Linked DNA regions of Anolis sagrei. The protein of the gene in region 3 interacts with the protein of the main gene of each other region in a pairwise test. Links are inferred from orthologs where the notes say so. Each region holds a gene or a part of one and is shown on either strand. Other genes may lie near its edges.

The links. The genes of interacting proteins can lie anywhere in the genome.
Region 1: the proteins of HTT (region 3) and KPNA3 interact in binary tests that used the Homo sapiens proteins (3 or more experiments, as listed by UniProt). The link is inferred for Anolis sagrei from reciprocal best matches to the Homo sapiens genes HTT and KPNA3.
Region 2: the proteins of HTT (region 3) and HOXC4 interact in binary tests that used the Homo sapiens proteins (3 or more experiments, as listed by UniProt). The link is inferred for Anolis sagrei from reciprocal best matches to the Homo sapiens genes HTT and HOXC4.
Region 4: the proteins of HTT (region 3) and KLF11 interact in binary tests that used the Homo sapiens proteins (3 or more experiments, as listed by UniProt). The link is inferred for Anolis sagrei from reciprocal best matches to the Homo sapiens genes HTT and KLF11.

Annotation. Positions count from the first base shown.
Region 1 is NC_090021.1:149,583,166-149,590,180, reverse strand, and holds the start of KPNA3 (importin subunit alpha-4), read right to left. Parts: upstream 3,003-7,015; 5' UTR 3,001-3,002; coding exon 2,695-3,000; intron 1-2,694. UniProt on the Homo sapiens protein: Functions in nuclear protein import as an adapter protein for nuclear receptor KPNB1. Binds specifically and directly to substrates containing either a simple or bipartite NLS motif.
Region 2 is NC_090022.1:189,248,845-189,256,610, forward strand, and holds HOXC4 (homeobox protein Hox-C4), read right to left. Parts: upstream 3,003-7,766; 5' UTR 2,758-3,002; coding exon 2,160-2,757; intron 1,562-2,159; coding exon 1,200-1,561; 3' UTR 149-1,199; downstream 1-148. UniProt on the Homo sapiens protein: Sequence-specific transcription factor which is part of a developmental regulatory system that provides cells with specific positional identities on the anterior-posterior axis.
Region 3 is NC_090025.1:105,052,081-105,059,679, forward strand, and holds the start of HTT (huntingtin), read left to right. Parts: upstream 1-4,591; 5' UTR 4,592-4,761; coding exon 4,762-4,913; intron 4,914-7,599. Other genes in the region: NOP14 (nucleolar protein 14), read right to left, coding at 1,055-1,237.
Region 4 is NC_090021.1:130,476,301-130,484,139, forward strand, and holds the start of KLF11 (Krueppel-like factor 11), read right to left. Parts: upstream 3,003-7,839; 5' UTR 2,773-3,002; coding exon 2,740-2,772; intron 1-2,739. UniProt on the Homo sapiens protein: Transcription factor. Activates the epsilon- and gamma-globin gene promoters and, to a much lower degree, the beta-globin gene and represses promoters containing SP1-like binding inhibiting cell growth.

The sequences.
Region 1 (7,015 bases), on a different chromosome or scaffold from region 3:
ATTGAAATATGTAAGAATTTGCCCCTAATTTTCCAGAGTATCAAGGCAGAAAATCCCACAATATCTGCTTTGAACTGGAATAAATGGCAGTGTGGATGCACATAACCCAGGACTGTTGGAAGGGCCCCTAGAAAACAAACATCCGAGGTTTATTCATGTCTGTTCAAAAAAGTAATCAGTGTGGCCCATTCCAATTTTATTTACAATCACAACCTAATGAAGTCACTCATATCTTTGGAATTTCTATTATTCAATTCCTGTATGATGGTACACAATCATTATTTAATTACAACTGACCAACTGTCTGTGTTTTTCATGAAACAAAAGTGACAGTAAGACTTAGATACTTCTCATCTCTGGTGGTCCCACCATTGGCCACTCCTTTCACACTCTGCTTTCAGTCTTGAGTCTCAAAAATCTAATTTTACAAAATTTGGAAAATAGGGGAAAAAACGGTTTTCCTCATTCTAGCATTTGTAGTTAGTAGTGGGTCCCTGCTGGGGATGGTTGCTTCATAATCCTTGCCCCCAATATCCAGCTCTATCATCTGTTGTCAAAAGTATATTGTGGGATTTTCTGCCTGGATATTCTGGGATATAAGTCTGTGTGGAAGGGCCCTCAGAAAACACAGTTCAAAGCAGATATTGTGGGATTTTCTGCCTTGATAGTCTGGGTTATAGGGCTGTGTGGAAAAGTTCCCAGGGTCCTTCCACACAGCCCTATATCCCAGACTATCAAGGCAGAAAATCCCACAATATCTGCTCTGGACTGGGTTATCTGAGTCCACACTGCCATATATTCCAGATCAAAGCAAATAATGTGGGATTTTATTCAGCTGTGTGGAAGGGGCCCCAGTTATCTGAGTCCATACTAAAATATATTCCAATTCAATGCAGAAAATGTGGAGTTTTATTCAGCTCTGTGGAAGAGGCCCTAGTAACACAGAGTCCTTCCAAACAGCCCTATATCCCAGAATATCAAGGCAGAAAATCCCACACTGATATTCCTGCCTTGATATTCTGAGTTATAGGGCTGTGTGGAAGAGCCCTGGGAACTCTTCCACACAGCCCTATATCCCAGAATATCAAGGCAGAAAATCCCACAATTCCTGCTTTGAACTGGAATATATATTTAGCATGGACTCAGATAACCCAGTTCAAAGCATATATTTTGAGATTTTCTGCCTTGATATTATGGGATATAGGGCTGCATGGAAGGCCCTGGGAACTTTTCCACACAGCCCTATATCCCAGAATATCAAGGCAGAAAATCCCAAAATATATGCTTTGAACTGGGTTATCTGAGTCCACACTAAAATATATTCCAGTTCAAAGCAGAAAATGTGGAATTTTATTCAGCTCTGTGGAAGGGGCTCTAGATAACCCAGTTGAAAGCAGGTAATGTGGGATTTCTGCCTTGATATTCTGGACTATAGGGCTGTGTGGGAGGGTGCTCAAATAACCTAGTTCAAAACATATATTATGGGATTTTCTGCCCTGATATTTGGGGTTATATGGCTGTGTGGAAGGGCCCTAAAATAAATTCAAAGCATATATTATGGGATTTTCTGCCTTGATATTTGGGGTTATATGGCTGTGTTGAAGGGCCCCCAAATAACCTAGTTTAAAGCATATATTATGGGATTATTATTTTTTTGTCGTGTCAGGAGCGAATTGAGAAACTGCAAGTCGCATCTGGTGTGAGAGAATTGGCCATCTGCAAGGACGTTGCCCAGGGGACACCCGGATGATTTGATGTTTTTATCATCCTTACGGGAGGCTTCTCTCATGTCCCCGCACAAGGAGCTGGAGCTGATAGAGGGAGCTCATCCGCCTCTCCCCAGATTCGAACCTGCGACCTGTCGGTCTTCGGTCCTGCCGGCACAGGGGTTTAACCCACTGCGCCACCGGGGGCTCCTATTATGGGATTTTCTGCCTTGATATTCGGGGTTATACGGTTGTGTTGAAGGGCTCTCAAATAACTCAGTTCAACGCAGATAATGTGGGATTTTCTGCCTTGATATTCTGGGCTATAGGGCTGTGTGGGAGGGTGCTCAGATAACCCAGGCCCTTTCCACACAATGGAATAAAATCCCACATTTTCTGCGTTGAACTGGAATATATGACAGTGTGGAAGGGCCCTGAGTCAGAAGAAAGACGGAGTTTTAAAAAACCCGAGATCAATGAATAAAAAGAAATACAAGGCCTCCATGAAAAATTTCACGACTGGAGAACAATAGGGGCCAGTCATTGGGCTCCACGGGAGGGGATTCCGTGGAGATGTCAACCAACCGCCTGTCAGAATGGAGCGGGGAAAGGAGCCTGGCCAAGAATAGCAAGGCCCACCACCATTGTGAATCCTCCCACTGCCCTGGCAGAGTATGAAAGGGGAAAGGCGAGGGCGATGGGCAGGGAGGGGTGCTGACCCGCTTCCAGCCTCCTCTCCCGCAGTGCCTCCCTCTTTCCCTCCCTCTGGGCCCAAGGGAAGGGGCGCAGACACAAAGCGGTCTCCCTCCCTGCCTCAGGAAGGGCCCACCGACGCCCTATCCGAGGGAGGGAGGGAGGGAGGGAGGAAGGGAGGGACCCTCTATCTACCCCTCCCTCCCTCCCGCCGGCCTAGGCCCGAGCCGCCCAGCCACTCCCCCTGCGAGCCGAGCAACGACGGCGAGGCCCCCACCGCCCAGCCGGCACAGACCTCCACGTCGCGGCCTTTATTCTTGAAGCTCTTCAGGCGGTGGTTTTCTAGGCCAGCGGCGGCGGCGGCGGCAGCAGCGGCAGCGGCAGCGGCGTTGTCAGCCATGGCGACGGCGGCAGAGGCGGCTCTGGGCTGGAGCGGCGGCGGCGGCGTGCGCGCGAAAGGGGAGGACGCGCAGTGACGAACGGCAGAAGGGCCCCGCCACTGCGCACGCGCGCCGCACGCGACGCCTCTCAGGGCCCCCGAGTCGTGGGAGGGAGGGAGGGAGGCGGAGCATAGAGCGTCTAAAATGACAGAGTGACACATGATTCGGGAGATGAAGCTTCCTGGTTGTTGCTCATCATGCCTTTTGCTTGCTGGTTTTTTTTTTGCTTCGGGAATTCGCCCCGCCCTTTTCTAGAGGGTCGCCTTCGGAAAGGGTTGTGCGCGTGCGCCGAAAGCATCCTGGCAAGCAGGAATGTAGGAAGGAGGACTGGCTTGAGGAATTGTGAGGGGGAAAATGTTAAAAACAATTGGGTTGTTGTAGGTTTTTTCGGGCTATATGGCAAGCATCCTCTTTGTTCTGATTCAGGGCCCTTCCACACTGTCATATATTCCAGTTCAAAGTAGAAAATGTGGGATTTTATTCCATTGTGTGGAAAGGGCCTGGGTTATCTGAGCACCCTCCCACACAGCCCTACCTCTGAGGATGCTTTTTTGACCCAAGTCAAAAAAGAAGCACCATTAAAGCCCTGACAGACCGTGCAAAAAGAATCTGCGAACCCCATCTCCTCCAACTTAAATCAAGAAATAGTTTTCTTAGATCTACAGAGACACTCGCTGGAACAGCTCAGCAAGCGAGAGTTCAAAAGTGGCAGGCTCAAACCCAGCACCTCAATCCGTGGGTGATACCAGATGAGAGACTCCCCCCTGGGCACACAGAAGACTGGGCGACTTGGAAGGCGCTGAACAGACTGCACTCCGGCACCATGAGATGCAGAACCAATCTTAAGAAATGGGGCTACAGGGTGGAATCCACGGCATGCGAGTGCGGAGAACAGCAAACCACTGACCACCTGCTGCAATGCACCCTGAGCCCAGCCACATGCACGATGGAGCACCTTCTTGCAGCAACACCAGAGGCACTCCAAGTGGCCAGATACTGGTCAAAGGACATTTAATCAGCTACCAAGTTTGCAAAATTTGTGTTTTTTTAAAAAAAATCTGTTTGTTTGTTTTGTTCTGTTAGAAATGTAACACAATGTTCTGGTTGCGGATGACACGATAAAAAAAAAAAACCTCCAAGATGAACTGAACCACCTCAACTGGGCTCTCCAGGCCAATGGAGAGTCCACCTCAGACATCAGAAGAGCTGCAAGACCGTGCAAAAAGAATCTGCGAACCCCACCTCCTCCAAGATGAACTGAACCATCTCAACTGGGCTCTACAGGCCAATGAATACTCTACCTCAGACATCAGAAGAGCTGCAAGACCGAGAACTAGCCACGAGAGTAAAGATGAAGATCCTCCCAGAGAAAAAGTGTTCTTGCCCTACATCAAGGGAACCACTGACCGCATAGGGAAGCGGATGAGGAAACACAACATACAAACTATCTACAGACCCACCAAGAAAATCCAACAAATGCTACGTTCAGCAAAGGACAAGAAGGATCCTCTCGCTTCTGCAGGGGTCTACCGTGTACCATGCAGCTGTGGACAAGTCTACATAGGGACCACCAAACGCAGCATTGCCCAAACACGAATCAAGGAACATGAAAGGCACTGCAGACTATTCCAACCAGAGAAGTCAGCCATAGCAGAGCACCTGATAAACCAGCCTGGACACAGCATATTATCTGAGAACACAGAAATGCTGGACCACTCTCACAACCACCATGTCAGACTACGCAGAGAAGCCATTGAAATACATAAGCATGTGGACAATTTCAACAGAAAGGGGGAAACCATGAAAATGAACAAAATCTGGCTATCGGTATTCAAAAAACTCTAAAATTGCAACAGCACAACAACAGAGGGGAAACAAACAAGGACATCTAATTACCTCTCAACAAAGGTTTGCCCCAGGCGCAGTCAGGCCATTGTATGCTAATCAAGGTGGTCAGTTGAAACATTCACACCTAGCTCTAGCAGAGAGGAGTCCTTTGTCTCACCCTTTATTATTATTATTATTAAACTTTATTTGTACCCCGCTAGCATCTCCCGAGGGACTCGATGCGGCTTACAAAGGCCAAGGCCTTAACACAACAGCAGTAAAACACAAAACAATACAAAACAAAGCAAATTAAAAACATAAGCAATAGCAAGACATTACACTATTACACAATAAAAACCATGGCCGGGCCAGTGATGGGTACAGGTTAAAAAAGTGCTGGGTGTGACAGGAGGTATATTGAGATTCTGGGCAAGTGCCATGTGCAGAGAGTCTTAAACTCTAGTAAAGTGCTTCTGGGACAAAGTGCTGGGTCATCCTATTCTGGAAAGGCACATCGGAATAGCCAGGTCTTCAAATTCTTCCTAAAGACTGCCAACGTGGGTGCTAGTCTAATGTCTTTGGGGAGGTCGTTCCAAAGTCGGGGGGCAACCACAGAAAAGGCCCTGTCCCTCGTCCCCACCAAACGCCAAGGTGGGATCGCAAGCAGGGCCTCTCCAGATGACCGAAGGGAGCGTGTGGGTTCATAAACGGAGATGCGGTCACGAAGGTAGGCAGGTCCCAAACCGTTTAGGGCTTTGTAGGTTAATACCTGCACCTTGAATTGGGTTCGGTAGGTAAATGGCAGCCAATGGAGCTCCTTGAACAGGAGGGTTGACCTCTCTGTAAGGAGCACCAGTTAACATCCTGGCCGCCCCCCGTTGAACCAGTTGGAATTTCCGAGCCGTTTTCAAGGGCAGCCCCACATAGAGCGCATTACAGTAATCCAATCTAGAGGTGACTAAGGCATGGACCACCCCGGCCAAATCAGCCTTCGCGAGGTACGGTCGCAGCTGGCGCACCAGTCTTAACTGTGCGAAAGCCCTCCCGGACACCGCCGACGCCTGAGCCTCAAGCGTAAGTGATGAATCCAGAAGAACTCCCAAGCTGCGGACCTGTGATTTCAGGGGGAGTGCAACCCCATCCAGCACAGGTTGCCACCCTATACCCCGATCCGGTTTACGATTGACCAGGAGGACCTCTGTCTTGTCGGGATTGATCTTCAGCTTGTTCTTCCTCATCCAGATAGCCACAGCGGCCAGGCACTCGTTCAGCACTCGAGGGGCCTCCTTGTCATGCCACAGATATATAAACCCTTTTGCCTAGTTCCAACAGACCTCACTACCTCTGAGGATGCTTGCCAAAGTGCAGGCGAAACATCAGGAGCGAATGCCTCTAGACCATGGCCATACAGCCCGAAAAAACCTACAACAACCCAGTGATTCTGGCCATGAAAACCTTCAACCATGCTTTCCATAGATGCAGGCGAAACGTCAGGAGAGAAGGCCACTAGAACATGGCCATATAGCCCGCAAAAACCTACAACAACCCAGTGATTCCGGCCATGAAAGCCTTCGAAAATACATTAAAAACAATTAATTTCCTGCCCTAAATTCTGTAGTAGTTTCCAGGAAAGCCATCTGGGAATTTATTCTCCATCTAAAAGTCCTTCCACACAGCCATGTAAACCAGAAGATCAAGGCAGATAATCCACAATATCTACTTGGAACTGGGTTATCTGGGGGACCTTCCAAACAGGCCCCATATCCCAGGATCTGATCCCAGGTTTTCTGCTTTAAACTGGATTATATGAAAATCCCACAATCTCTGCTTTGAACCGGCTTATCCACACTCAGATAATGTGGGATTTTATGTACATTTTATGTACATGCGGCCTGCTCTTTGTCCTTATGTTCGGTTTTTATGTTCTATGTATATTGTTTATATGCTTTGATGTTTATACTTTAATGTTATGTTGTTTATCTTATTGTAATTTTGTATTTTAATTTGTTGTTCGGGCTTGCCCCCATGTAAGCTGCTCCGAGTCCCCGTTGGGGGAGACGGTGGCGGGGTATAAATAAAGTTTATTATTATTATTTAGGCAGATGACACCACTTTGAAATAATGCCTGGCTGCTCATTGGAGGGAAGGATAGTAGAGGCAAAGATAAAGTACTTTGGCCACATAATGAGAAGACAGGAAAGCTTAGAGAAGACAATGATTCTGGGGAAAATAGAATGAAAAGGGAAGAGGAGCCAGCCAAGGGCAAGATGAATGGATGGTATCCTTGAAGTGACTGACTTGACATTGAAGGAGCTGGGGGTGGCCACGTCTCACAGGGAGCTCTGGCAT
Region 2 (7,766 bases), on a different chromosome or scaffold from region 3:
GAATCTTAATAGGGAAAATATCCCTCCTGGGGGAGCTGATGTGGTGCATTAACCCCCTCCTCCAGACCCATTTGCCTATGTAACAGAAAGCAAAGAAGCGAAAGAACTCACCAGATATTCCAAAATCAATCTGTGTCACACTCAATGGTTGTTGGTTGCTTTTGTTTTGTTTTTTATTATTGAACAAGGGGACTTTCACATATACACTAAAACTCTTTTTTATTGCAAGTTTACAATGACCATGTCAAATCATCAGTCCAAAATAAAAAAATATCCAAAAAAGGGGGGAAATAAAAAACACGAGAAAGAACCACGACAAAAACCCAAACAGATTCTATATCCACTGACACTTCTCTTTCAACTTTCTCTCTTGCCCTCCCTCCCTCTTCTCTGGTTTGCTTCTCACATTGAAATAAATCATAAGTTTCTCCGCTTTCCTGCTTACTCCTCTGTGCTGTCTGCCCTTCTTTCCTTGGTCTTTTCCCCAACGTCTATACAACAACACAAAAAAGCAAGAAGGGGAAGAGAAAGCGCTCAATGATCCATTTTTCTCTGTCCTCTTTTTTGTTCTCCATTGGTAAATGCACAGAGAGCAACACAACTGCATTCTTTCCTTGCCTGTGTAATTATTAGCATATGCTTCACATTTTCATCGAAAACAGAACATTAGGTTCCCCCACCCCAGCACACACATACACACACACACACAACACACTCATCAACACTCCCACCATTCTTTCATCCCTTCCTTTTAAAAAAATAAATAAAACCCTGAAAATGGCGCTTTAAAAAAGAAAAGAAAGAAAGAAACAGCAATTATTTCACCTGGCCTCTCATGCTAATAAAGACATGCACCTAAAGCTTGAGATCTCTGGCAAAAGACCTCATTCTTTTGTGTGTTTGTGGTTCTATTTTTATTTTTTTCCTCCTTTCCTTGGCTCATGGGGATATATATATACACACACGCACCGGAAAACTACGAAGGAGGGGAAGAAGGGGGGTTAAAGGGGAAGAAACAAGAAAGACAGAGAGAAAGAGAGAGAAGGGGGAGAAACAAAATATATAGAATTAGATATATATATTAGATTCTATAAATAATCAGAGTCATTTTTTATGAGGGGGAGGTGGTTCTTTTTGCTGCTGCTGCTGCTGTTGCCGGTTCTGTTTGTTTTGTTTTGTTTTTTTTCCCCTCTGTTTGTTTATAACCTTGTAATATCCTCTGCTCGTGCTTCCTGAGATGAGCTTTGCGAGTGGTCTTCGCTGCTGACCACCACCGCGTTGGAAGGAGCCGCCGGGAGGGATCCGGCCGAGGAATTGGCCGGGGCTGTGGACCTCACTTTGGTATTGGGCAGCCGGTGGTCTTTTTTCCATTTCATCCGCCTGTTCTGAAACCAGATCTTGATCTGCCTCTCCGAGAGACACAAGGAATGGGCGATCTCGATCCGCCTCCGCCGGGTCAGGTACCTATTGTAGTGGAACTCTTTCTCTAATTCCAAGACCTGCTGTCTGGTGTAGGCAGTCCTGGATCGCTTGGGCTCGCCTCCATTGTAATTGGGGTTCACTGGAAAAACCAAAGAGGACCGTGAATAAACCAAGGAGGGAGGGAGGGAAGAAGGGTTGAAGGGAAAGGAAGGGGAGCGGGTTAGATGCACACACCGAGAGGAAGAAAGATCTCCAGTGGCTCAAGGGAAAGAGAGGAGGAGAAATACAGAGAGAGAAAGGGGGGAGGAGGAGGAGGAGAAGAAGAAGAAGAAGTCATCAGCTCAATGGGTTATAAAGAACCCAGGACTTTCCCTCGGATTAAGAAGGGGTTTCCCTGGCTTGCAAAGAGCCTGAATTATTTATGCACCCCTCGCAAAGCCGTTGGAGTTTCACACATACATAACAGAACGAACCACATGGCTCGGGCTGCCCAGACTAGCTTGGCTATAAAATTTATGGTGGGTGTAATTACCCACTCGGAGTCGTAAATCCCGCTCAATTGTGCTAACCCAAAGACTCTCGTTGAAGGCAAAGGAGGTGATGGAGGGAGAGAGAGGCAGACAGCGAGGGAGAGAGAGAGAGAGAGGAGGAAGAGACTGAGGCAGGGACAAGGAAAGAAGCAGAGGGAGAGAGAGGGAGAGAGGAAAAGGGGAAGGAGAGGAGCAAAAGTTGCCTACCCGTACTGACGTGGATTTTTTTCATCCAGGGGTAGACTATGGGCTGCTTAGAGGCCGTGCTGCTGGGGTGGTCGGGGTTTTGCTGGTTGCAGGCTGGGGGAGCTGGGGATGGCGAGGTGGCGGCGCTGGGAAGAGCCGTTTGGTCGCAGAGCTGCGGCTGCGGGGGCTTCTCGGGGAGGTGGTGGCCTCCAGGCGGTGGTCCATGGCCCCTCGGATGCACGGAGGGGTTGCCGGGACCTTGGAGGCTGGCACAGCTGTACTGGCGCTCGGGGTAGCTGGGTCGCGGTGGAGGAGGAGGAGGTGGAGGAGGTGGCGGTGGCGGAGGAGGAGGTGGCGGAGGGTACAATTCCTGGTGGTGGTGCTGGAAACTGGGCTCCCTGGTCCGGCTGTAATATTCCGGACTGTGGTCTGGGATGTAATTATTTTGCGAATATTCTTCGCATGGAGGAAATTTCGGATCGATGTAGTTAGAGTCCATCAAATACGAGCTCATGATCATTAATTTCTGGAGTGGAAAATAATTTTTCTCGCTTTGTCGTTTTTCTGCTCCATAAAACCCTCCTACTAGCTGGCGACCCCGTAAAGTTAGTTTCACCATGTGACTATTTGCGCCAATCACGCCAGCCGAGCGAGTCCCCGGATAAGGAACCAAAAGCTTATTCAAAATGTATCCAATTTGTGTGTGTGTGTGTGTGAGCGCGCGCCAGGGTGCGGGTGCCTGTGTTCTTGTTGTTGTTGGTGTGATCCCCTTCCCCTCAGAGCAAAAGAGGGGTGTGTGAGAGAGAAAGAGAGAGAGGGAAAGAGAGAGAGAGAGAGAGAGGTTGAGGGGGAGGAAGGGGCAGATCTTACAGCCAGGCAGGCAGTCCTGTGTGTGCTCCTCGTCTTCAAAAGGTAGTATCAATGCTCAGAATATTAATAGAAGTAAATTCATTTATTTGACAGAGAGATGGTGTGGAAGAGTACCTCCTATATGATTAATCTCTTCCCCCAAACTACCCCCACCCCTTGTTTTCTAGGTGCACAGCAAGTCCTCTCTTGTAGACAACCAAGAGCTAAGCCAGCCTTAAGCAGGAAAGACAACCATTTTTTAAACACTGCAGCATGCTCAAATTTGCTCTGCTTGTTTCACCTTAAAAGCTGTGGGGAGAGATGTGCCCCCTCCTCCTCCCCCCCCCCCCCCATCCAGGACACCGCTGGGATCCTTGTCTGCAGATCTGGCCCCACCCCCACTCCCAACCTACACACATACACAAAACTCAAAAACTCAAAGGAAGTTCAACATCTGTCATCCAATTGTTTGCAGGCAGAGAGACAAAGAAGGCAGGTTACCTGGGGGGGGGGGGGAGGAGAAGAGAAGGTGGGGGAAGGGAGTATGCAAATCATCTTTGCGTCATTTGGAGTGAGAGTGCTCTAGAAAGGCTCATCAACCCTTGCTTAAGGGAGGTCTGATGGGGTTTTCATAAGAGAGGATGGCGAAGATGAAAAGCAGGAAAAGTTCCTTCCAGACAGATGGCAAGGCCACCAACCTTCTCTTCTTCTAACCAGGGGATGGAGAGGTGGAGGAGTCTAGTAGAAGGAGGTGTTGTTGTTGGGAAACTGGTAGCTGGGTGCTTGCTTTATACCAATCTTCTCCTGCTCAATGTCAAGGCATTGTTGTGGGAAAGAACACACATACATATAGTCTAAATGAGGGAGGAAAAGAAGGAAGGAAGGTGGGTGTCCATTCACATACAAGAGGTATGATATTCTATTCTTCTTCCCAGCCAGAAATCCCTGCAGAAGTAGGAAGAGTCAGCTCACAATCTCTGGTTTCAATCTTGAGTCAGGGATGATGGGCAGAAGCAGCCCTGCTTGAGTGTGCCTGTGTTCCCCCATAAGATACATAAACAGACCTCTGGGTAGGCTCAGCAAGCTGGGATGGGAAGCAAACATTTTAAAGAGTGCAGTTATTGCAGTTAAAAGGCTTTATCTATAGCTTACATTAAGAAGATGGGGCACCGACAGTCGGATTAATCCCTTGTACTGCTTGATAACAATTATAGTTGAAAATCATAGCTTGCAGGGCATTGCAATATTTTACTTGATAACAATAAAAGTGACACATAAAGTTAACTGTTTATGTTTTATTTATTAGACTAAATGTGCCAGCGGTGTCGGAGGCTCTGGGCTGGTTGTAACAGTTTTTATGGGGCTGTAAAACGCCATAAATCAGTCACTTGAAATGGTTAGGTCTCTCTCTCTCCCTCTCTTCCTCCCTCCCTTCTTTCTCTGGCAAGGGCTTGTGTGAGCTCTGAGCTGCCTTTTCAGCGACTGCTGCTCCTTCTTTGCAAGAGAGAAGTCACAATTCCGGATTTTATTATCAGGAGCACACTTTACCTTCTCTGTTATTCTAATTATTTATTCAAGACCTGGCTGTATGATGGTCCTCCCGACCAATCTCTTTACCCTGCCTCAAAGCGTGTGTTCTTGTTCAAAGAATGTGCTCTTCAAGATCTTTAAGCACAGCACACTGAAATCTCAAATATTAGCCTGTTAACTGCAACATCTGGGAGAAGAACCCCAAGAAAGGAGAACATTTAACAAAGCTCACCACTCTGAAATCTCAAATATTAGCCTGTTAACTGCAACATCTGGGAGAAGAACCCCAAGAAAGGAGAACATTTAACAAAGCTCTGCATCGTCCATATACTCCCCTAGAGACGAATTTGTGATTGAGGTGCTCACACAAATTCGATTCTACAGGGTACATATAAACGACTGGAGAATTGGGACTGCCTATTTCAGGAGGAGGGGGGAAGGTTACTTCTCTCCAAGCCCACACCAAAGGATGTCCTCCACCAGCCTTTCTTTCTTTTGATGGCTAAAGGGCAGAAGAGAGCAGCCCTCAAGACTTCCAAAAAGTCATTAAACAAGTTAAGCAGTTCCCAAGTTGAGCATGCATGTTTCTGAAGAATTTTGCCACTTCTCCTCACTTTGAGAACTGGGCCCTGAAAGATGACCTTCATTTCTATTCAGGTGACCACATAAAAATCTACTGTTTTGATTAGCCTCTTTTTATCAGTCCATGAAATATTTGGGCCAAGTTCACCCTGAAAAGGTTTTTCATGCACAAATACTATGTGGAATTGTCAGCTTGCTTGCTGGTTGATTGATTGATAGATTCTGAGGAGGAGAAATGTGGTTTGCTCCAAAAGAAGGGGAAAATGGAGGAAACCTTTTCTTTTGATGACCAGTCCTAGTGTAAGTGGAACATTTCAGACTATCTTTACAATGTCATTCCTATTGAGAACTCACCTGATTTTGTTCATTCTATACATTCTCCATTGAAGGAGAACGTTGAAGCTTGGGATCTATAAGATATGCAGGCATGACAGGAATAGTACTAAGGGAGGGAGAAAGAGAGAGAACATGCATTTTATTTATTTATTGAAATTATAGGATAGATGCTGAAAAATAGAAACACTCACCAACTAGGAATAATATTAAGCAAGTATCCCTACTGTTTCTACAAACACCCATATTACTCCTTCCATCAGGTTTTTATGGATTGTAATAGTTGTATGGAACTCATTCTCCCCAAGTTTGTGTTTGCCATGACTGTTTCATGTTTCAAAAAAGTATTAGTTCTGATTTTAGTAATATGAGTACTCTTTCTGCTCCACTTACTATTACTACCAATGCTATACAGTTGCCATCACTATGACTAGTTAAAATTATACTCTTTTACATATACTATCAAAATCTTATATCTAACATCAGTCTTATACACACTTGCTTGGGAGTTAGCCTCACTGAAATCAGGGAGACTTACATCTGAGTAGACCACATGTCTTTGTGTTGTTCAGTATATGCTGAGCAAATTCCCACTGAATTTAGTGCAGCCTTCAAGTGCTTGATTTGAGATGCAGAGTGCCCATTGGGGACCTTAATAGAATTCAAATGAAGAGATAAGGAGGAGGGATGAAAGATTTACCAACTGAAGCTATAACTTTTAAGCACATTTAATAGGGAGTAAACCTCATTGAACTAAGGACTCTTCCACACAGGCATATATCCCAGAAGATCGAGGCAGAAAATCCCACAATATCTGCTTTGAACTGGGTTATCTGAGTCCACACTGCCATATATTCCAGTTCAAAGCAGATAATGTGGGATTTTATTCAGCTGTGTGGAAGGGGCCTCTGTGGCTTTTAACTCCCATTAGCCACAACAGAGACTCAGGGCCCTTCCACACAGCCATATAATCCAGAATATCAAGGCAGAATAATCTGTGTTGAATTGGAATAGCTGAGTCCGCAGTGCCATACATTCCAGTTCAAAGCAAAAAATGTGGGATTTTATTCAGCTGTGTGGAAGAGGCCTCAGTAGACAGTTTATTTTGGCAGGGTGAGACTATCCTGGATAATTGTAGCTTAAACTTCCTGATTCATAAGGGTGAACTAAACAAATAAAACTATATCCATATTGGGTTGTTGTAGGCTTTTTAGGGCTATATGACTATGGTCTAGAGGCATTCTCTCCTGACGTAAAATTACAGCAGCACAACAACAGAGAGGAAACAAACAAGGACATCTATTCACCTCTCAACAAAAGTTTGCTCCAGGCACTGTCAGTCCATTATATGTTAATCAAGGTGGTCAGTTGAAACATTCACACCTAGCTCCAACAGACAAGAGTCCTTTGTCCCACTCTGGTCATTCCACAAATATATAAACCCTTTTTCCTAGTTCCAACAGACCTCACTACCTCTGAGGATACTTGCCATAGATGCAGGCGAAACGTCAGGAGAGAATGCCTCTAGACCATGGCCATATAGCCCGAAAAAACCTACAACAACCCAGTGATTCCGGCCATGAAAGCCTTCGACAATACATATATCCATATTATTATCCTCTTAATCATTCTTTTAGGGCTCATGGAAAAAAGAGCAATGCGGCTATGGGAGATGGTAATAACTGGAAATGAGGACACATTGTTTCCAGCGAGTCTTACTTCCATAAGAGATAGCAGATCTATACACTGGAGTTTAAAGTCCGAGTAAGCATGAACAGATTCAAGAAGCAGGATGTATGCAAAGCTACTTAAAAGTAAGATCTCGCTCTTTCTTTGCATCAGATCCGCCTGTAGACACAGTCTCCTGATTTTGATCATGTTTACTCGGAAGCAATAGTCTCTCCCGAATAAGTGCATACAGGATTGTAGACATACTCTACCTTTTAGGTTTATTCCCCCCCCCCCCCCTTCATTTTCCATGCTGGGGTTGTTTGTTTTACCTCCTTGTTGGTGTCTGTTTCTGTATCTTAACAGATTCCTGTTTTTCTCTCCTCCAAGATTTGAATTAGATTCCAAAGTTTATATATTCTTTTTCTGTTTCTAAACTTTAAAAATGAAATAAAAAATAAAATAAAATGGCCTTTTTAAAAGTGTCCGGGTGAGTTTCTTTTATGCTTCCTATCAAAGAAAGTTCCAAGAAAGTGTGGAAAAAATTATAAGTGGGGAACAAATCCCTTTTGTTCCTAGAGCATCTCTCTTGCCTCTCTCACACTTCTGCCCTCAGTCCTCCCCCCCCCCTTCCTTATTTTTTTTAAACCAACCAACTAGGTCAGG
Region 3 (7,599 bases):
CTTTCTGCTTGTGGGTAAACAGTATTCCTTGTTGTTTCTATGTCAGTGTTGATGTGGAGATTGTCTGGTTTGCCCACTCTGGAACATGCAACCTATCATTGTCCTTCTTTAGGGGCCCCTTTCAAATCTATGATACTATATCTGTGTATTTGTGTGTGAATCATATCTATCTATCTGATCTATGGCTGGATGGCTCTTTGTCAGGAGGACTTTGATTACGTTTTCTTGCCCTGATGAAGGGAATTGGATTGGATGGCCTTAAGTATTTTCTGATGGTCATGGGGGTTCTGTGTGGGAAGTTTGGTCCAATTCTGTCATTCATGGGGTACAGAATGCTCTTTGATTGTAAGTGAACTGTGAATCCCAGTGACTACAAATCCCAAATGTCAAAGTCTATTTTCCCCAAATGCCATCTGTGTTCATATTTGGGCATATTGAGTGCTTGTGCCAAGTTTGATCCAGATCCATCATTGTTTGAGTCCACTACAACTCCCAAACTTAAGGACAATGCCCACCAAACCCTTCTAGTGTTTTCTGTTGGTCATGGGAGTTCTGTGTGCCAAGTTTGGTTCAATTCCATCATTGATGGAGTTCAGAGTGCTCTTTGATTGTAGGTGAACTATAAATCCCAGCAACTACAACTCCCAAATGACAAAATCATAATTTTTTGAGTGATGGTCATTCCTTGTGTTGTGAGACATTTTGTTGCCAAATTTGGTGTTATTTCATTCATTGGTTCTTTTGTTTTTAAGGTACTCATTATGCACAGAGCATTTATATATATATATAGATTATTTTCTGTTTATCCCAGATTATCTGGCAATAGGGATTTATATAATCCAGTTTAAATCAGAAAACCCGGGATCAGATCCTAGGATGTGGGGCCTGTCTGGAAGTGCCCCTGCTTTAAATACTGATGCGGTTTGGGGGCAATGACAGAGGTGATGAGAATTGTAGTTTGCTCACATCCTGATGCATTTTCCAATGGGACCACTCATCAAATCCAAAACTAAACCAAGGACATTCTGTTATTTATCCTTACAAATCACCTCACCTTTTTGTGGGCCCGGGAGCGCATGACCCCCGGCCGCCCCACGTCGTGCCTGGTCTTCCGGCCCAGGATCTGGAACTTCTGCTTGTTCACCTTCACCTCGAAGGGGTTGCTCTGCGCCATGGCGTCGGTCTTGGCGGAGGCAGCAGCAGCAGCAAGAGTTCCCTTACGCTTAGCTTTCCCCATGGTTGCTCGCGTGGGGACTGGGCGCTCTGCGCTTCCGGAGGCTCACACGCGTGGCTTCCGCTGGAGGCCCCGCCCACCGGCCTCCTTCAGGGATGCTGGCACTTCCCCTGCCGAGGGAGGAGAAACCGGAAGCGCGCGAAGATAGGAACTGCGGCTGCGCGGACCCCTATTGACACTATCGGTGCTTCTGAGGGCCCTTCCACACAGCCCTCTATCCCAGAATATCAAGGCAGCAAATCCCACATTATCTGAGTGTGGACTCGCATAACCCAGTTCAAAGCAGATATAATGGGATTTTCAACCTTGATATTCTGGGATAGAGGGCTGTGTGGAAGGGCCCTGGGATGGGGAAGCAGTGCAAGAGGAGCCTGAGGGCCCTTTCACACAGACCTCTATCCCAGAATATCAAGGTAGAAAATCCCACAATGTTTGTTTTGAACTGGGTTATATGAGTCCACACATGGATAACGTGGGATTTTCTGCATTGATGGGATATAGGGCTGTGTGAAAGGGCCCTCAGAAGCCATGTGTTTATTTATTACAGACTAGCTGTCCCCTGCCACGCATTGCTGTGGCCCAGTCTGGTGATCTGGAAAATAAAGTAATGAGAAAGTGTTGGTTTCTAATATAAGTAATTCCTTTATTCTTGTGAATAAACAGTATTTCTTGTTTCTTTGTCAGTGTTGATGTGGAGAGTGTCTGGTTTGCCTACTCTGGAACATGCAACATATCATAGTCCTTCTTTAAGGGTCTCTTTCAAATCTATACTATATCTGTGTGTGTGTGTGTGTGTGTGTGAGAATCATATCTATCTATCTATATTTATGACTGGATGGCTCTTTGTTAGGAGAGCTCTGATTACATTTTCTTGCCCTGGTGAAGAGAGTTGGACCGGATGGCCTTAAGTATTTTCTGTTGGTCATGGGGGTTCTGTGTGGGAAGTTTGCCCAATTTCTATCGTTTGTGGGTTTCAGAATGCTCTTTAATTGTAGTGAACTAAAAGTCCCAGTAACTACAAATCCCAAATGTCAAGGACTATTTCCTCCGAACTCCATCTGTGTTCATATTTAGGCATATGGATTTTTTGTGCCAAGTTTGGTCCAGATCCATCATTGTTTGAGTCCACAGTGCTCTCTGGATGTGGGTGAACTATAATTCCCAAACTCAAGGTCAATGTCCACCAAACCTTTCCAGTTTCTTCTGTTGGTCATGGGAGCCCTGTGTGCTAAGCTTGGCCCAATTTCATAATTGGTGGAGTTCAGAATGCTCTTTGATTGTAGGTAAACTATAAATCCCAGCAACGACAATTCCCAAATGACAAAATCAATTTTTTTGAATGGAGAACATAAATTGGACTGTTAGGTGTCTTGTGTCCAAATTTGGTGTCAATTCCCCCAGTGGTTTTTGAGTTCTGATGGTACACGAACTAACATTACATTTTTATTTATATATAAATATTTCAATGCCACCTTTCAACAGGACTGACTCAAGGTGGCTCACATCATATTTAAAACATGCATACAAATAATTAAACACTAAACAAATATTAGATGTTCAATAATCCTTAAAAACGTATGTATTATTAAACATTAAAAGTTACACTCTAAAATTCCCCGCTCAGAGGGGATCTGCTGCATTTAGGGTGTTTATAGATATCTGCAGGAAAAAAAATGAAGCTCAAGGAGAAGCTGTGGCTTGGAGTGTTTTCCTTTTTTGGGGGTGGTGGGGGTGGTTGTGTGTTTTGAAATGCATTTATTATGTGCCAACTGTATTTCATCCTAACACAGACAGTACTCTTTCATAGCTTTGGTTGTTGTTGTTCATTCGTTCAGTCATCTCCAACTCTTTGTGACCTTATGGACCAGCCCACGCCAGAGCTCCCTGTCGGCTGTCACCACCCCCAGCTCCTTCAAGGTCAAGCCAGTCACTTCAAGGATGCCATCCATCCATCTTGCCCTTGGTCGGCCCCTCTTCCTTTTGCCTTCCACTTTCCCCAGCATCATTGTCTTCTCTAGGCTTTCCTGTCTCCTCATGATGTGGCCAAAGTACTTCAACTTTGTCTCTAGTATCTTTCCCTCCAATGAGCAGTCGGGCTTTATTTCCTGGAGGATGGACTGGTTGGATCTTCTCGCAGTCCAAGGCACTTTCAGCACTTTCCTCCAGCACCACAGTTCAAAAGCATCTCTCTTCCTTCACTCAGCCTTCCCTAAGGTCCAGCTCTCACATCCGTAGGTTACTACAGGGAATACCATGGCTTTGACTAGGCGGATCTTTGTTGCCAGTGTGATGTCTCTACTCTTTACTATTTTATCGAGACTGGAAATTGCTCTCCTCCCAAGAAGTAAGCGTCTTCTGATTTCCTGGCCACAGTCTGCATCTGCAGTAATCTTTGCACCTAGAAATACAAAGTCTGTCACGGCCTCCACGTTTTCTCCCTCTATTTCCCAGTTGTCAATCATTCTTGTTGCCATAATCTTGGTTTTTTTGATGTTTAGCTGCAACCCGGCTTTTGCGCTTTCTTCTTTCACCTTGATTAGAAGGCTCCTCAGCTCCTCCTCGCTTTCGGCCATTAGAGTGGTGTCATCTGCATTTCTGAGGTTGTTAATGTTTCTTCCAGCAATTTTCACCCCAGCTTTGCATTCATCCAGCCCCGCACATCGCATGATGTGTTCTGCATACAAGTTAAAAAGGTTGGGTGAGAGGATGCAGCCTTGCCGTACGCCTTTCCCAATCTGGAACCAGTCTGGTGTTCCGTGGTCAGTTCTGACTGTTGCGACTTGGTCCTTGTACAGATTCCTCAGGAGAGAGACAAGGTGGCTTGGGATGCCCATCCCACCAAGAACTTGCCACAGTTTATTATGATCCACACAGTTAAAGGCTTTAGAATAGTCAATGAAGCAGAAGTAGATGTTTTTCTGAAACTCCCTGCCTTTCTCCATTATCCAGCGGATATTGGCAATCTGGTCTCTCCTTCCTCTGCCTTTTCTAAACCCAGCTTGAACATCTGGCAACTCTCGCTCCATGTATTGCTGGAGTCTTCCTTGCAGGATCTTGAGCATTACCTTACTGGTATGAGAAATAAGGGCCACTGTACGGAAGTTGGAGCAGTCTTTCGCAATAGTGGGATTTTCTGCCTTGATATCCTGGGATATAGGGCTGTGTGGAAGGGCCCTCAGAATATCAAGGCAGCTAATCTGTAATACCTGCTTTGAACTGGGTTATCTGAGGCCCCTTCCATACAGCTGGCCAGGAGGCGGAGCGTATCCTCCTCTACTTGGCGCTGATTGGCGTTTGGCCTGCCTTTCAAGGGGAAGCCCGGAAGTGGCGAGGGGACAAGGACACGGCGAGGGGGCGTTCCGTCGCGGTGCCGCGGGGAATGACGGGAGCTTTCCAAGATGGCGTCGGTGCGCTGGAGGCGGGCTGAGGGCGCTTGCCTGCTCTGAGTTCCGAGGCCTGCTGTGCTGCCCTGAGCGGGAAGGCGCCGGAGGAGTGGGCTTCCTTCTCGGAGCCCTCCGAGTGTAGTCATGGCCACCATGGAGAAGCTGATGAAGGCCTTCGAGTCCCTCCGCTCCTTCCAGCAGCAGCAGAGCCCTGCCGCCATTCCAGCGGGCGCCTCAGCCGCTTCCTCGGCCGGAGTGGCCGCCGCCTCCGCCGCCGAGGAGCCCCCTCAGAGACCGTGAGTCCGGGCGGGGAGAGGCCAGGCTGGGCCTGTCTCTTTGCCTGTCTTCCTGTCTGTGGGGATTCCCCCGGAGACCGGGGCATTTGTCCTGAGGGGATGGAGCCTATGGAATCCCGCCTTTCTTCCAAAGATGGGACTCGAGGAAGCTTATGACAGAAAGCGACCTCGATCTAAAATCATGGGTAGCAAAAGCAGCCACACTCTCTTTCAGTCCCATGTTTGGATTAGCCTTGTGAATTGAATTCTTTCGATTCTTGTATTGTCGAAGGCTTTCAAGGCCGGAATCACTGAGGTCTCACTACCTCTGAGGATGCTTGCCATAGATGCAGGCGAAACGTCAGGAGAGAATGCCTCTAGACCATGGCCATACAGCCCGAAAAAACCTACAATAACCCACTTTCGATTCCTGCCGTGCAGGATCAGCCCACCAAAACCCCCTCAGCAAGTGCTTCCTTGTAACGGTTTTTTTTAAAAAAATTATTTATTAATTATAATTATAGTAATTATATAAATTAATTAATATATTCCCCCATTTGGGGATTCAAAGATTACTGCAACGCACTCTACATGGGGCTGCCTTTGAAGACAGTTCGGAAACTGCAGTTAGTCCAACGGGCGGCAGCCAGATTCCTAACAGGAGCTACATACAGGGAGCATACCACCCCCTTGTTGTGTCAGCTCCACTGGCTGCTTGTCCAATTCTGAGCTCAATTCAAAGTGCTGGTTTTTACCTATAAAGCTCTATACCAGTGGTTCTCAACCTGGAGTCCCCAGATGTTTTTGGCCTTCAACTCCCAGAAATCCTAACAGCTGGTAAACTGGCTGGGATTTCTGGGAGATGTAGGCCAAAAACATCTGGGGACCCCAGGTTGAGAACCACTGCTCTATACGATTCCGGCCCAGCTTACTTGTCCGAACACATCTGCCTCTACGTCCCACCTCATAACTTAAGATCATCCGGGGAGGCCCTGCTCTCGCTCCTGCCAACATCGCAAACGCGGCTGGCGGGGATGAGAGACTGGGCCTTCTCAGCTGTAGCCGCCCGCCTGTGGAACACGCTTCCAAATGAAATACAATCGACCCCATCCCTCCTGGTGTTCAGGAAGAAATTAAAATCTTGGTTTTGGGACCAGGCTGTCGGACAATAAACATAAAGCAGCACTTTGACTGGAAATGGATTGGCAAGACGATACGTATGACGATACGGTTTTATGGCTCTATCAGTGGGTTTGTGGACTGAGTATTTTTTTTTCATGACTTATGATAATTTGGTTATAATTAACTGCTATTGTTTTAACTCTGTATGTATTTATGGTTTTATACTGTGTTATTGATTGTGGCATCGAATTGCTGCCCTTGTTAGCTGCTCTGAGTCCCCCCTCGGGGGTTGAGAAGGGCGGGGTAAAAATGCTGAAAAATAAATAAAGTGGCCAACAACTAGGTATAAAACATACAAAGTACATTGGGATAATAAAAATAAACAGATTTTTTAAAAAAATGACAACTGAAACATAATAAAGCAGTTACACCATAACAGAATATGTTACAGATTAAAATACATTCAGCACTTTAGGTATAGTTAAAACTAAATACAGTGTTCCCTCACTTATTGCGGGAGTTACATTCCAGGACCTCCCGCAATAAGTGAAAAACCGCGATGTAGGGACACTATATTTATTTTAATATTTATACATTATTTTAGTAGTTATACACTATTTTACGTCTTTATAAACTTAAAATAAAGGAAAGGAAAGGAAGGAAAGGCCCTTCAAGGCTGGAGGGAGGGAGTACTGAGGAGGAAAAGTGTTTTGGAGGCCGCGGCAGCAAAACTTGCGAAACAGCGAAAATACCACAATATATATTTTAAATTAATATTTTTTGAAAACCGCAAAACAGCGCATCCGCTGAAAGCGAACCACGAAGTAGTGAGGGAACACTGTAAACATAAACCAAAGTAATTATCTGTTCTAATACCACTTGTCCATAAAGGTATTGCAGGAAAAAGATTCAGCTCAAATGCTACTATGGCGCCTATCACTCTTGTATTATTCTTCCTTGAAGGCCTGATTCCAGAGAAAAGTTTTTATCTGGCACCTGAAAGTTAGTGAAGGGGAGACCATTCTGATGTCTTTCGGGAGTTCCAGGGCCGTGCAGCAACTACCGAAAAGGCCCTGTCTTGTTCCCACCAACTGTATTTGCGAAGGTGGTGGGATTGGGAGAAGGACTTCTGTTGATCTCAGAGCTCATGCAGCTTCATAGAAGGAGATGCAGTCTTTTAAGTTGACTGGGCTTTAAAGCTTCTTTAAATTAAAGTGCTGTCATTGACTTCAGTCCTGCCCAGAAAGTACAGTGTGGCCATTGAAAGACCGAGGCCCCTTCCACACAGCTGCATGAAATCCAAATTGAACTGGACTTGGACAATCCAGTTCAAAGCAGATACTGTGGATTCTCTGCCTTGATATTCTGTGTTTTATGGCTGTGTGGAAGGGCTGTGAGTGATATAAAATAAAAATAATTTCTACAAACACATCTGTTTTTTTTAAAAACATAATTAGTGGATCTACAAAGGATACTCTATAACCTACCCAAAAAAAGAAAGAAAAAACAAAAAAACTATAACTTTTTCAATCTCTTCAGTCTTTCAGGCCTCTTCCACACAACTGTATAAAATCCCACATTATCT
Region 4 (7,839 bases), on a different chromosome or scaffold from region 3:
GAGCCAGAGCAGCCACCCACTCCAAATATAGCCGGAGTGGGGCGGAGGGAAGGAGTGGGTCGAGGTCATGCATCAAAATAGCCCTGTGAGCCAGTGGGTGGTGGTCTCTGGCTGAGCCAATGTTGGGGGGCGTGGTGCTGGGGTCTACAACACTGGCCTGGCTGGAAAGCAAAGAAGTGTGTGAGATGGCATGCAATCTTTGGGCAAGGCTGAACATTGATAATCTGGAGTGGGGAGGGGGGAGAAATAACACGCCCAATTTTGAGGTTTTGCACACACACATAAACCAAGCAAGGAAGCAATCAGCTTCTCCCGCACTCATTACTTTGTGCTAGATCACCAGGCAACAGTGGACCACGGCGCAGAGAGATTACTCACCCGAAAGCACAATATACTGCATGCGTCAGTGGTGACTAGTCAACGGGCGAGGCAGGAGGTACCAAGGGAAGGCAGAGTCCACCCGCCTCACTTACTGGCAATTCCCTCAAACTATAAGTACCACTTCCTTACAAGGGTGGATCTATAGAATTAATACAGTTTCAACTGCTGTGATTTCATTGCTATGGAATCCCAGGAGTTGTAGTTTTAAAAAAGGCTTTAGCCTTCTCTGACAAAGAGTGCTGGGAGCTCCCAGGATTTTCTCTAATTGAGCCATAGCAATTAAAGTGGTGTAAAACTGCATTCGGTTTACATCTGTAATGCACCCTATGTAAAGATTATTTATATGGATTCGTAGGTTATGCATCTATGAGCGTGACATAGAATCCTGACCATGATTTTTCTGGATGCACCTCCTGTGGCCACCCAGATTTCCACTGGCCTTTTTAAACAATGGTATGTTTAATTCCGTTTCCATATTTGTATGCTGTAGTTTGTCTATAAGGTTATGAGCCACTCTGAGTGTCGATCAAAAGGGAAAAGCAGGGTACAAATAAATATAACAACAACAACAAAAACAACAACACTAAAAGGAGAATCAATGTCCCCTCCCACCAGCATCCCACACACAACTGCCAGTCATCTATTCAAAGAAAGGGATTCTGAAGTGTTTTCCACACAAACACTGGGTAAGTTAGAAATAAGCCCATTGCAGACCACCTTGAAAGCAATGGGCTTTGTCAAAACAGATTACCTGCCTTAAAAGCGTTGGGAAACAGCCCTGGCATCATGCAACACTAAGGCATCTCTCAGGCACACCACCTGGCAAACCCACCCACAAAGTAACACTTGCAAGGTACATAGGGTGCCACCTCCCTTGAAATATTACACACACACACACACTTCATCATAATAATAGCCATACTAGTTATCGGAAGGCTAAGTAAATTAATTTATATTGAATTCAAGAAGAGTATCTGCTCTGAGTCCCCTTTGGGAAATAGAGCTGAATATGTTGTTATTGTTGTTGTTAAATATTATCATTATGGTTTGATCAGAGTGACAAACCCCGCCTTAAACTACAATGTAAAGTGTTGAAATGGCCCCTGTGCAGCAGTGCCACTGCCCTCATTGTCCAAACACAGAAGAGTGGCAGACCTCACTTGAAAGTTTCTCTTCTGATTTCATGGCACATCCCTCCTATTGGACTCCTTAATCCTGACACTTCACTGCTATTGGAATCTGATAAGGATGTATACATAGGGGAGGGGGAGGGTGCAAAATAAACAAGGAAATACTAGAATTATAAACTGTTGAGGAGGTATACATTTCTTGAAATTATTTGCAAATTATATTAATAACTCCAGAATGATAAAACTGATATGGATACATGCATTTTTAAGATTGCACATAACAATAATAATAATAATAATAACAATAATAATAATAATTCCAGATTTATATGCTCTTATTGGACTCTACACTTTTCAAATAAACCTCAAATAATAATAATAATAATAATAATAATAGTAGTAGTAGTTTGTTATGGGTGTATACCTTTTGAGGTATGTATTAATAACAATAATAAAAACAACAATTCCAGAATTATAAGCAGTTAAAGGTACAGAATTATAAGCAGTTAAGGTTACAAATAACTTGCAAATAAAAGTCATAATAATAACAACAATAATAATTCTAGAATTATAAGCAGTTAAAGGTACAGAATTATAAGTAGTTAAAGGTGCAAATAACTTGGAAATAAAAGTTATAATAATAATAACAACAACAATTCTAGAATTATAAGCAGTTAAAGGTACAAATAACTTGCAAATAAAGCAGTCATAATAATAACAATAATAATTCCAGAATTATAAGCAGTTAAAGGTGTATGCCTTTTTGAAATAACTTAATTAAAACAATCACAACAACAACAATAATTCCAGCATTATAAACTGTTAAAAGGTATGTACATTATTGAGATAACGAACAAATAAGATTACTATTATTATCATACTGGGATGATAAACGGTTATGGGTGTATACTTTGTGAAAATAAATTGCAAATATTATAATAACAACATTGTAGATAAATAGATACAGATCTAACTAGCCTGCATTAGATCTCCTGGTTTACCAATGTTCATCAAATTGCAAGTAAATATAGAATAATAATAATTTCAGATTAAGCATTTTAAGGATGTTTACATTTTTGGGACACTCTGTACACAGAGAGAGAGTGTGATGCATTTATATATAATTAAAAACCTAACTAGGCAGGAGTTGTTCTGGATCATCATCCATCCCATCCCACCCGCCGCTCCCCTTGATGCGGATCTGATCCGACTCGAAGCCGGCACTCACCGCGGGGCTGTCCCCCATCTCCTCGGTGTGCATGGTGAAGAAGGGCTCCTGCAGTGAGGAGCAGCCCCAGCAGCAGCAGCAGCAGCAGCAGCAGCAGTGACAAAGCCAGCCGGAGCGCTCTCCCTGCTGCTTCCCCGCCTCTTTCCCTTCCCTCCTCCTTCCCTCCTTCCTTGCAGGGAGGCGCGCCGCCAAAACACAGAAGGAAACCCACCAAAACACTCCATCCAGCACGAGCAGCTGGAAGGGGCGGAGGAGGACAGAGCGAACGGGGGAAGAGTGTGGCGCGCCGCAGCCAATCACGACCCGAGCTGCCTTTCGGCCGGCCAATCGGCTCTCGCGGGCGGCGTGATGGCCTCGTGCAGCTCGGCTCCGAGCAGGAAAGGCCCCGCGTGGGCACGGCGGCGGCGGCGGCAGAGGAGCCGAGCCACCCCTTTGGAAACTAGGGGAAAGGTCGCTCGAGGGAGGGAAAGGGGGCGGAGCCAAGCTGGAGCCTGAGCAAAGGAAAGGGCGGGGCTGTTCTGTATCAACAGCCAGGGAATGCCCGGGGAGGGAGGGAGGGGGGCGTGGCTGGGGGAAGAGCCAGCGCGAGCGCAGAGGCAGCCGCTGACATCACCGCCCTCGCCCCAGCAACAGCGAGGCAGGCTCTTCCCAGGGGGGTGCGCTCCCCCCTCCGCACGCCCTCTCTCTCTCTCTCTCCTCACAACACACAAGCCACTCTCTGGCTCCTCCACTCTCCTTCATGAGTGGCCCTTCTGGGCCCTCCTAGTCTCCAAATCCTTGGCAAGATTCGTCTAGAAGGGGCTAACCTTTACTGGCCTTTCAAGCTGTGAGAGTGTGACTTGTCTAAGGTCAGCCATGGCTGAGTTGGGTCTCTGGAGTCACACTGCTTGTGGATGGTTGAATCCGTGGATATAGGATCTGTGGGAACATGGGGTGAACTGTACTTAAATATATATACAGTTGGTCCCATTGATTTAAAGATGGGCTCAAAGCCAACCTTAAAAACTAAAAACTGGGAAGCCCTGGCCCTTGAGCGCTCCAGCTGGAGGTCAACCGTGACCATTAGTGCTGTAGAATTTGAAGAGGCACAAATGGAGGGCGAAAGAGAAACGTGCCAAGAGGAAGGTGCATCAAACCAACCCCGACCGGGATCGCCTTCCACCTGGAAACCGATTCCCTCACTGCGGGAGAAGATGCAGATCAAGAATAGGGCTCCACAGTCACCCACGGACCCACCAGTACACCGATCCTGGAAGACTATCCTACTCGGACAACAAGGGATTGCCGAAGAAGAAGAAGATATATATAAGTACAGTTGGCTCCATATGTTGTGTGAATGTATGTATGTATATACACACAAATATAACATCTGTTATAGAACTCGAATATGCTGATGATAACGTAGCCTGTGCACATTCAGAAGAAGACTTACAAGCCACTCTAAATACCTTTGCAGAAGTATACGAGAAGCTTGGCTTCTCATTGACTCATCTGAGGTGGAATCAGGTGTGAAACAGGGATGTGTTATTGCCCCAACCTTATTTTCCATCTTCATTGCTTTGATACTTCATCTTGTTGATGGGAAGCTTCCCACCAGAGTGGAAATCATCTATTGTACAGATGGCAAGCTATTTACACTCAGCAGACTGAAAGCCAAAACCAATGTTACAACAACATGTTATAGAACTCCAGTATGCCAATGATAATATAGTCTGTGTAGATTCAGAAGAAGACCTGGAAGCCACTCTAAATACCTTTGCAGAAGTATACAAAAAGTTTGGCCTCTCACTGACCCATTTAAGGTGGCATCAGGTGGGAAACAGGGATGTGTTATTGCCCCCACTTGATTTTCCATCTTCATTGCTTTGATACTTCATCTTGTTGATGGGAAGCCTCCCACTGGAGTGGAAATCATCTATCGGACAGATGGCAAGCTATTCAACCTCAGCAGACTGAAAGCGAAAACCAAGGTTACAACATGTTATAGAACTCCAGTATGCTGATGATAACATAATCTGTGCACATTCAGAAGAAGATCTACATGCCACTCTAAACACCTTTGCAGAAGCATACGAGAAGCTCGGCTCACTGAACATCGAGAAAACCAAATTGCTCTTCCAGTAGTCACCAGCCAGTCCCTCTTCGATGCCAGAAATTCAGCTTAATAGTGTAACGTTAGAAAATGTTGACTATTTCCACTACCTTGGCAGCCACTTCCCCACAAAGTCAACACTGATACTGAAATACAACACTCCAATATGCTGATGATAACATAATCTATGCTCACTCAGAAGACCTATAAGTCACTCTTTTGCAGAAGCATACGAGAATATTGACACTGAAATACAACACCACCTGAGCTCTGCAAGTGCAACATTCCTCCAAATGAAGCACAGAGTGTTTGAGGACCGGGACATCCGTAGGGAGACCACAGTGCTTGTTTATAAAGCCATTGTCCTCCCAACCCTGCTATACGCCTGCGAAACATGGACTGTCTACAGACGTCACACTCAACTCCTGTAACAATTCCATCCTGCAAATTTCTTAGGAAGACAAATAGACAAATGTCAACGTACTGGAAGAAGCAAAGACCACCAGCATTGAAGTGATGCTACTACGCCACCAACTCTGCTGGACTGACCATGTTGTCCAAATGCCTGATTATAGTCTCTCAAAGCAGTTACTATATTCCCAACTCAAGAACGGAAAATGGGAAGTTGGTGGACAGGAAAAGAGATTTAAAGATGGGCTTAACACTAACCTTAAAAACTGAGGCATAGACACTGAGAACTGGGAAGCCCCTGGCCCTTGAGCGCTCTAGCTGGAAGTCAGCTGGGCCTAGCAGTGTTGTGAAATTCAAAGAGGCATGAATGGTGGGTGAAAAAGAGAAACGTGCCAAGAGGAAGGTGCTCAAGCCAACCCTGACCGGGATCACCTTCCACCAGGAACTTGATGAATCAGGAATAGGGCTCCACAGCCAGCTACAACGGACCCACCACCAAGACACAACACTTGGAGGGCCACGAGAGATCGCCTAAGTAAGTATATATGGTGTGCAGCTTTGGTCAGGCCTTGCCTAGTGCAGTGGTGTAATAAAAGATTTTATTTCTGTTAAATTACATTCAGAGCAGCATTGAATTTGATCATACAAAGACAAAAGGTCTTTGTATGATCTCATAAAGTGTTACTCTGCCTTTTAAGTGCAAAGGGCCCTTCACACTGTATAACTTTAGCCAAATGATTTCACTCTAGCTGCCATGGCAACATCTTTCTATATTATGGGACCTGAGCATCTGTGGATTTTGATATCCACAGACAAAGCCCAGCAGATATTTGAGGATCAACTGTGCTCTTAAAATCTCTTCTTATTTCAGACTAATTTCCAAAATGTGAGTCTGAGAGTGCATCTACATTGCAGAATTGGTGCACTTTGACACCACTTGAACTGTCATGATTCTGTACTATGGAATCATGGCATTTGTACTTTTGGTGAGAGACCAGCACTCTTTGGCAAAGAAGGCTAAAGTCTGTATGAAACTACAACCCCCAGGATTCCATAACACTGAGCCATGGCAGTCAAGTTGGTCTCAATCTGCATTAATTCTATGGTGCAGATGCACCCTGAGACACATCCTCTCAGTTCTTGCACTCCCTGTATAACTAAGCTGCTTATGTTGACTGCCAGCTACAAATGCTAGGCACAACCATCTGTGATAATCTGGAATAAAAATGTCATTTTTCTATCAATCACGATGACAAAGCCCCAAGCAGCTCCCTTTTTAGAGTCCAGGCTGATGTGGGGGGAAAAAACCATCAAATAAATAAATAAAAGCATTGAGATGATTTGCAAACCCAAACTGGATGTAACAGGTGTTTTTTTAAAGCTGCATTTCTCTTCTTGTTTTCTCACTAAAAGCACTGGGCGAGACAGGAAACGGCAAGGTTTTTCTGCTTCCCGTGCTCCGCACTTTCATATTATATCACAGCTCAGGAGTTTTTTAAAATGTCTCTTTTGTCTCGAGATTGGAGGTGTTGTTGGGCTACCGGATCCTTCCCAGTGATGCTATAAAACAGTTTGGTGAAACTCTTATTTGGTGCCAATGTGGGTTCTGATCTGCTATAATCTACAATGCCTTTGTTGTGGTTTCCACAGCCGTCTTCGTGATGAGAACCACGTATTATATTTTAAGCATCCAGCACGTAGCGCCACTCCTTCTGGCCACATGTTCGGCTTTATTAATAATATCTGGCATGCAGCCCGCTTCCTTTTCTAATGCCTGCCTGCCCTCCGTATAGTCCCTTCTGTTTTTAATTACCGGTCAGCAACTCAATCAGGTTTTTGTTGTTATCACACAATGATGCTCGGTTAGGATTCTTGCTCCTTTAAAAATCATTTTAGGTTTTCTAATGCGTATCATTCATGCAGTGTGGTCTTATATTTGGGCTTTTCAGCATGGTTGTTATTGCTGCCTCTTTGCAGTCCATGCCAGTAGGACTGTAGCCAAAATACTAAGGCTGAATCTGCACTGCATTATGTGGACACGTTCCAAACATTTAGAGCTTTCCAAACATTTAATGTAGGTGACCCATTATTGTAGACATGAATCGTTTTGCAACACCGTAAATCTACTAGCAAATCGAAGGTTAAACCAACCCCTTATAAGAGATGCGGACACATATTAAATTGTAATAACGAAATGTATGGGGACACACATATCTCACAAAAGCCTTTCGTGTAAACATTGAAATATATATGATTTGAAAGATAATAACATACATTTCTGAGATTTTGGTCATTTTGCATTACGCTCGCAAAAACACACGCTACAGCCGACACACCAACGTGTCGCGACACACAGTTTGGAAAGCTCTGCTGTAGACTCATATAATGGAGTTTGACTGCATATATGAATCTGTACTGACCATATAATGTAATTCCAAACTGTATTACATGGTAGTGTAGATGGGGCCTAAGAAACAAAACCGGTATTACCATCTTGTTCTACTGAATCCAAAAATGACTAGAACAACACCAACAAAAACAATAACAACACAGACTGAGTAGTCCTTATCCAAAATACTTGAGACCAGAAATATTTT